2 linked regions of the Xenopus tropicalis genome follow. The protein of the gene in region 1 interacts with the protein of each later gene in a biochemical or structural test. Links are inferred from orthologs where the notes say so. Each region holds a gene or a part of one and is shown on either strand. Other genes may lie near its edges.

Evidence for each region. The genes of interacting proteins can lie anywhere in the genome.
Region 2: the proteins of fbxw7 (region 1) and klf5 form a complex in vitro, tested with the Homo sapiens proteins (2 studies listed by BioGRID, with this or other methods). The link is inferred for Xenopus tropicalis from reciprocal best matches to the Homo sapiens genes FBXW7 and KLF5.

What each region holds. Positions count from the first base shown.
Region 1 is NC_030677.2:55,551,780-55,555,429, forward strand, and holds the end of fbxw7 (F-box/WD repeat-containing protein 7), read left to right. Parts: intron 1-1,217; coding exon 1,218-1,486; 3' UTR 1,487-3,118; downstream 3,119-3,650. UniProt on the Homo sapiens protein: Substrate recognition component of a SCF (SKP1-CUL1-F-box protein) E3 ubiquitin-protein ligase complex which mediates the ubiquitination and subsequent proteasomal degradation of target proteins.
Region 2 is NC_030678.2:127,158,594-127,162,842, reverse strand, and holds the start of klf5 (Krueppel-like factor 5), read left to right. Parts: upstream 1-1,331; 5' UTR 1,332-1,508; coding exon 1,509-1,685; intron 1,686-4,135; coding exon 4,136-4,249. UniProt on the Homo sapiens protein: Transcription factor that binds to GC box promoter elements. Activates the transcription of these genes.

The DNA.
Region 1 (3,650 bases):
AATGTTTTTCAGAGTAGATTTTGTTCTCCCTTCTTGTTAGTGAGATATTTACTGGTGGAACAATGAGTTCTCTAAATCTTGCATGTTCCCTGCTGCACACAATTCTGTCACACTGTTAAGCATTCCAAATGACTCCAGATCCAAACGTTCCAACACATTATCTCTATATCTGTAAGAAAAAATATATATTATTTAGGCAAGTGACTTGTTAAGCATCCACTACAGTTTGGTTCATATTTGTAACAATTATAGTTCCCTATAGCTTAGTACAGGTCCTTTGCCTTTATCCTTATAGCACACATAATAGTACATTCTAAGTGGAATTTCTATACTTAAAAATCAGGTTTAAAAGAGAGAAATGAACTATAGTGGCTCGTAATTTAATTACATGTGGAATTGTATAATTGATCATTTGTAAATAATATTAAAATCATGTGACAGCAGAATAATTAGGGAAATATTTTTTTTTTTTTTTTTGGAGAATGCCTTTCTGGGAAACCAGAATCCCATTGTCCTGTCTTCCTCTTTCAGTCTATTTTTAGAGAGGGAAATATTGCCATTTTGCCTTACTTGATTTATCTGACTCGACACATTCAGCTGCCTCGCAGCCCAATTAAGTAGTCAGTCTTTTAAAATGCAAATAACCCATGGATAAACACAAGGAAGGGTTGTCTAACCATTTCCTTTGCATTTTTATGGTCTGCTAGGCTGCCATCATTACGATAATTTTATACCACAGAAAGATGTGTAAATTCATTGTCTTGGAATGAAGCGGTTTTAACATATTTAATGCCTCAGATATTAGACAAAATACAAGTAATTTACTTAATTGAATGCTTTCAATCATGAACTATGCTTTGAATAGCCCTGTTTTTTATATCATTTTGAGCCATTTTAAAATTGTATAGATTTCTCTTTGTCTGCATGTGTATATACAGTACATCGAAGGGAACATGTCTGCATTTAGTAAAAAAGAAACACATTTGGATACGTGTGTGTGTGTGTATAAACACACAACCATATATATATGTGTGTGTCAATATTTAGGTCAGAACTTATGTATCCAAGGTAAGGCTTGCCTGGGTGCAGTGCATAATTGTATACAAATGAACACCAGAAATCTCTACTCAGAGGACTTCACAAATCCAAAAAGTGATTTATTTAATTATTTGATTGTTTTTATGTTTCACTAAATAATCTGATAATTCTCTCTCTAGGTCCCAACAAACATCAAAGTGCTGTGACTTGTTTACAGTTCAACAAGAATTTTGTAATCACCAGCTCTGACGATGGGACTGTAAAATTGTGGGACTTGAAAACGGGTGAATTTATTCGGAATCTGGTCACGTTGGAAAGTGGCGGAAGCGGAGGTGTTGTATGGAGAATCCGAGCCTCCAACACAAAACTTGTCTGCGCTGTGGGAAGCAGAAATGGGACAGAGGAAACAAAACTGCTGGTGCTGGACTTTGATGTGGACATGAAGTGAAGGCTGGGGAGACAAAGTTGTCCATATTTTTAGACTGCTTATCCTCCTTTTTTCTGCCACCCCTTTCCTCCCCAGTTCTTCCCCTCCAAAAACATCAGTTGGCCTTGGTGAAACAGGATTCGGGCTTGGGGCAACAGATCACAAAGACCTACAGATCGTGGATGTGAAGGCATGATATCTTGTCACGAAAAAAATAGACTTCCTTGCAGGGTTCCTTTTTCTTTTGCAAAAAGGAGGAAGTAAATTAAAACCGGGTGAAATTATTTTTTGATTTCTCTCAAACTGATCTTACGGCAGCACCGGCGGTTGTTTTGGTGGACTGTCATTAATGCCAGAAAAACCTATGTCACAAAGCTACAGATATTCACAAAACACAAACAAATGCTGGTTGACTTTAAAAGAGAGCATTTGAAACAAAGTCATTTTCTGGTTTTAGAAATGCTGAAAAAAAATAACTGTGAATTGTTTTTGTACAGTTTTATCAATTTTTGCCGACTTTTGCCAATGTCAATCAATCACAGTATTAGCCTCTGTTATTTTACTGTTGCTTCCATCTACACTCTTCAATGCATATGTTGCCCTGGGCTGGCAAGCTAGTCCTCACGTTCTCAGATGGATGGAAATCTCGATGCTGGTGCTAGCAGTAGGTCTTTACAAATGGGATTGTTGTCCCACAGCTGTACTGTATTCCCAGTGGCCAAACATATTTATGCTGCTAACTGAAAGGAGAAAAAAAAAGCAAAATTTCTTTTTTTTTTTTATTATTATTATTTTACTGCTGTGACGTTTTAGTCCCAGACTGAATTCCAAATTCGTTCTAGTTTGGATATGGAAATAGATTTTTTTTTCTTTTTGCCACTGAAATTTGAACCCTCAGTGCCTCTAAGAGGCCGTAACTGGGACAATTTCAGACAATTAAGAGTGAAGTTTGCCTGCAAATTAAAAAAAAAAAACAAAAACAAAAAAACAAAACTTTTGAGAGTGTGCAAAGCTTTTTTTTTTATTTTATATATATTTTTTTTTTTTTTTAGCAAAAATGTAAAAAACATTCCTTAGAACAAAGCTGTTATAGCCTGTTCTGTTGGGATATTTTTTTATTTTTTGGAGGGCTGTGGTGAATGTAATTTCCGTAACACAACTGACAAGATGTTTAAGAAAAAAAAGTACAAAACACGAAATATCTGAAACCAATGTTGCTGGATAGCCTTGATAATGACAGTATTTGGGTGGAAAAACAACTGTTACAGTTTTCTATAAAGGCAATGCACAGGCCAAAAGGCTTTTGCTGCGCAAGCTTCACGTGCAAATAAACAATACCATACAATTGTCCGATAATTTGCCTCATTTTCCAAGAGTCACAACTCATGCTGAACTGTGAAAGTGGTTTAACACTGTATCTAGGCAATCTTTTTTTTTTTTTTTTCCTTTTTTTTTTCCTCCTCATCCTGTATTTTTATTATTTATAGTCTGGTTTTAAAACAATCAGATTCCATTTGGTTCATTTACAGTTCTGTAACAACCTGACATAATGGAGGAAACAATGTTTAAAGGGATTGTGTCTATGGTTTGATTCACTTAGAAATTTTATTTTCTTATAACTTAAGTGCAATAAAATGTGTTTTTTCATGTTAATAAGCGTTTGCGTTTCAATGGTGCCATTCTAGCCATGAGCTTATATATTTCTATTATGTTTGTTCTCCTGTATGCCAGATACTGCATTTGCAATATGGCGTCCTTAAATGAATAGTACTACAGGTGTCGGACCCCTTATCTGGAAATCCATTATGAATTACGGAAAGGCCATCTCCCATAGACTCCATTATAAGCAATTAATTCTAATTTTTAAAAATGATTTCCTTTTTCTCTGTAATAATAAAACAGTACCTTGTACTTGATCCCAACTAAGATATAATTAATCCTTATTGGAGGCAAAACAATCCTTTTGGCTTTATTCAATATTTAAAGATCCCTTATCCAGAATACCCCAGGTCCCGAGCATTCTGGATAACAGGTCCCATACCTGAACTGCAAATTATACAGTAGAAATGTTATTGTTTTCTAAAAAATATTTATACATTTTCAAAAAAATTGGGACAGGGTAATAAAAGACTGGAAAATCTGTGTAAATCTAAAAAGATTGGATCCCAGAGAGGCTGGGTCTCTC
Region 2 (4,249 bases), on another chromosome or scaffold:
ATTAAATATATCCAATTCATTGCTCAAACCAGATGTTTTATTGTGACACAGCCCTTGTTATGTAACCCCACACCAAGGCTTTGAAGCAATTGTCTGTTCAGTAACAAATAAGATACACTATGTAAAACAACTGACACTTGATTAAGAAATAGGGATAATTTAGATGTCCAAAGTAAAGTACAGGTATGGGATCCCTTTACCGGAAACCCCTTATCCAGAAAGTTCCGAATTACGAAAGGCCATCTCCCATAGACTCCATTATAAGAAAATAATTCAAATTTTTTATAATGGTTTCCTTTTTCTCTGTAATAATAAAACAGAACATTGTACTTGATCCCAACTAAGATATAATTAATCCTTACTGGAGGCAAAACAGCCCTATTGGGGTTATTCAGTATTTAAATTATTTTTAGCAGACTTAAGTTATGGAGACCCAAATTACGGGAAGATCCCTTATCTGGAAAATCCCAGGTCCCATTTTTGGGACCTGGGGCATTCTGGATAATAGGTCCCATACCTGTACAACATACTAACTAAAGAGCCCTCTAACTCTTAGCATTTTTTCCCAGCCTTTATCTTTTAGGAGACCCTGTGAGATGTACCTAGAGAACAATATTTTTCAATTATTGATTGATCAACAGGTAGCATTTACTGGTCAGCTGTTTGAAAGCAAACAACTGATTGGTTGCTATGAGTTAAGGTCCCCATACACCTTCAGAACCCATAGCAACCAGCTATTTGATGCCCACTAAATGCTACATGCTGATTAGTTGCTAGGTGAGGGAAAACACTGCAACTGTTACTATATTACCCCATGTGAGAATTTAAAACTATGCAACCGCCACAAATAAGCTTACTAGACCCAAACCAATGTACCATGGGTAGGAGATGATGGCTGTCAGTCCATACAGACAATGGTGGGAGGTGGGTTATTGTGGAAGCTGCAAGCAGTTTGACACCAGCCCCATGGATCTCCACCTTAGTCCCTGGCACCAGCCATGGAATTACCAACAGTGATACATAAGCTAACTTTAATTCAGAGAGTTATAGTCACATAACATTTCGTGCCCACCTTGCCTAATACAATGCCCTATGCTTTCCCTTTAATGCACCATCTGGGGCTAATAACGTACAGTGCATCAGGGTAACTCGCTCCCGGGCGAGCAAGCCATTCCCAGAGAAACTTTTCGCCCTCACGCTGCGCCTGAGTTGCAGGCGGCTTCTAATAGCTAGGCCCCGCCCACAGTCACCCACGCTCGGCTTCTATTGGCTGGATCTTGTTTGGGACGGCCCCTAGCGACCTGCCCCGGAATAAAGCGGGATCCACCCTGCAACAGGTAGAGTGTTGTGCGTGTGGATAGGGCAGTGCCGTGCCACACGGAGCGAACAGTGTAAAGCTTGGCTAGTTCTACATAGTGAGCCTCAGCTCCGCGGCTTCTTCTAAAGTTCCACACCGAGTCTCCGGAGTGTGCCCCTTGTGTGTGTGCCAGAGCGCCGCCCCGCTGTACATGGCTGCCACTGTGCTGACCATGAGTGCCAGGCTACAGCGCTTGGACGAGCCGGTCTTTACCCAACTGAAGCCAGTTCTGGGCCAGCAGCATGTCCGAGGGGAGCCCATTACGGGAGGGACACTGTTTGCAGAAGAAATGAAGAGCTCCCGAATGATGCCCGATGACATGGTGCAGGTGAGGCGCTGCTGGGATGGGCACTGTGGGTGCGGAGGGGGCATGTTGTGTTCACTGGAAGCAATTGCCATGGCATGCAGGGGCCACAGGGTGAGCCAGCTGGGGCCAGGTAGCTGCTTGCCCAGGCGGAGTGCGCTAGAGAGACGCAGGTTGCGCTAGAGAGATACACAGGTTGCGCTAGAGAGATACACACAGGCTGCGCTAGAGAGACACACAGGCTGCGCTAGAGAGAGACACATAGGCTGCGCTAGAGAGAGACACAGGCTGCGCTAGAGAGACACACAGGCTGCGCTAGAGAGACACACAGGTTGCGCTAGAGAGATACACACAGGCTGCGCTAGAGAGACACACAGGCTGCGCTAGAGAGAGACACAGGCTGCGCTAGAGAGAGACACAGGCTGCGCTAGAGAGAGACACAGGCTGCGCTAGAGAGACACACAGGCTGCGCTAGAGAGAGACTAAGGCTGCGTTAGAGACACACAGGCTCTTTGCTTTAGAGTGCCGGTTCCACAGCAGGTTCGGGCGTATAGTCCTTAGTCAGGGGGTGTTTTCTTAGGGCCCCGAAAATCATCAGTTGTAGGTAGGAAGCCCATAGTAGCCACGACCGATATTGCAGGGAGTTCTAGTGAATTAGTTGGGAGAGCCCTATACCACAACTTTTATTTGCCACTGGATATGCTGTGTTAACTGGTATATAAGTGGCAGACCAAGTGCCAACTTACAAAGTATGCACCTGTGCCTTTAATCTAAGGGAGAGCCCAGCCTGGTGTGTGCAGCTTGCTATACACTGGGTATAACATCACTTGGCTGCAGGTCCAGACAGATGATCAGCAATGCTGGGTGGTCTGCTGTAACTTGCCCCAACCTGGAATATATACCAACCTGGTCATGCAGTATGGTCAGATCCAAATCTAATCAGGTTTAGTCAACAAAACTGTGTCAGGTTTTATATTGTTTACGTGTAAGTTTTCCAAATGTATACAAAAAATAATAATACAAGGGAGTACACATAAATATACAATATTGCAAACAGTTTTATTTACCAAAGGAAACAACTAGTAACATACATGGGTATTGCTCTTTTCTACTACACCCTGGGTTCCTGCATCAGTTATACAGAAATTTTCTGTAACATACTGTGTTGCAATGAAAGGTAGCGAGGGGGATTAATAATGGCGGATGGTGATGCTGTTCATGTATGAGGTGGTATGTCGGGATGTACATGGTGATGCCCACTATAGTAGTACTGGTACAGCCACCCCCACACACACTCATACAGGGAATAGATCCGAAGCAAACAACAGCTGGTTGAGCTATAATCAGAAGGGGCCTAACCACAAGTTGATCTGGACAATTCCATACTTTGTAGTCATAGTAATCAAGGATGTTTAATCTGCTTTCCTCCAGCGGTTTTTAAAATACAAGTTCAAGCATCCCTTTGGGTGTGGTACTAAAACAGCAGCTGGAGGGCTGCAGTTTTATTATCACAGGAGAACTTATTGCTGTTGTATCTGGTTTTTACACTATGGTCCCTGTTAAGTCTGTTTTTCTCTTCTCATTGAATGCATTGTGCTCCTTTCTCTGCTGAACTACTACTCCCAAAATGCTATCAACGGGGTGGGTTGCAGCTGTGCAGCCATTGCAGAGGTGCAGGTTGGTCAGTGTCAGGTACTGCCTTTGTGTTGCGCCAAAGTGTGTAAGTGATGTTGGTAATAAAGAACTACAAATACTTTCCTGTACAGTATGTTAGCTGCAGGTGCTGAGTCTATAAGAGAGCAATAACAGTCAGATTGGCTTTTGTGGGTATGTATATACTTAGCAAGTGACCCCCCCTGGTTTCTGAAACTGATGTGAGTTATTACACTAGTTTTCCATTTGTCAGCTGATTCATTTTGGAGAAGGCTGATGGGTTAAGGAATGACTGGAGTTTTTACAGTGCAAGGGGGAATGTAGCATTTGTCTATTGAGCAGCACACGATAAATGCTTTGCTGATGACTGTAAATGTAACCTATCATCCTGCAGCCACCCACGGCCTCCACTGCACCTCATCTAAGCAGATATGAATGTAAGTGCTGCAGTGTCTCTTTAACTGTACCAGCCGCTGTTTGTTTCAGTTTAGGAAGTCCAGAGACTTGGCTTTTCTATATTATGTTGAGACACCATGGAGAATATTATCTAACATTTTCTAGCTGCTTTGGAATGTTCTGTGTGTATCAGTATGTGGGAGAAAGGGATCAAGCTGGCCTCAGCTCTAGTGCTGGGAATCTGCTTGGCGCAATGAATTTTGAAGGGAAACATAATTTTTAGCGTTCTGTTATTTCTGTAACATTGTTTTGGTTATATATATATCTTTTGTTTTGCCTCTAACAGAAGGTTAGCATCCACAGGCAGTACAAAATGGTATATAGGAAGGGTTTAATATGTAACCTTTTTTTCTTTTATTTTTCAGACTAGATGCGAAATGGATAAATATCTTTCACCTCATCATCATCATCATCATCATCATCAACCTCCTCCCCCACCTCCTCAAGTTAACATCATGCAAGATTTAAAAAAGTACAGG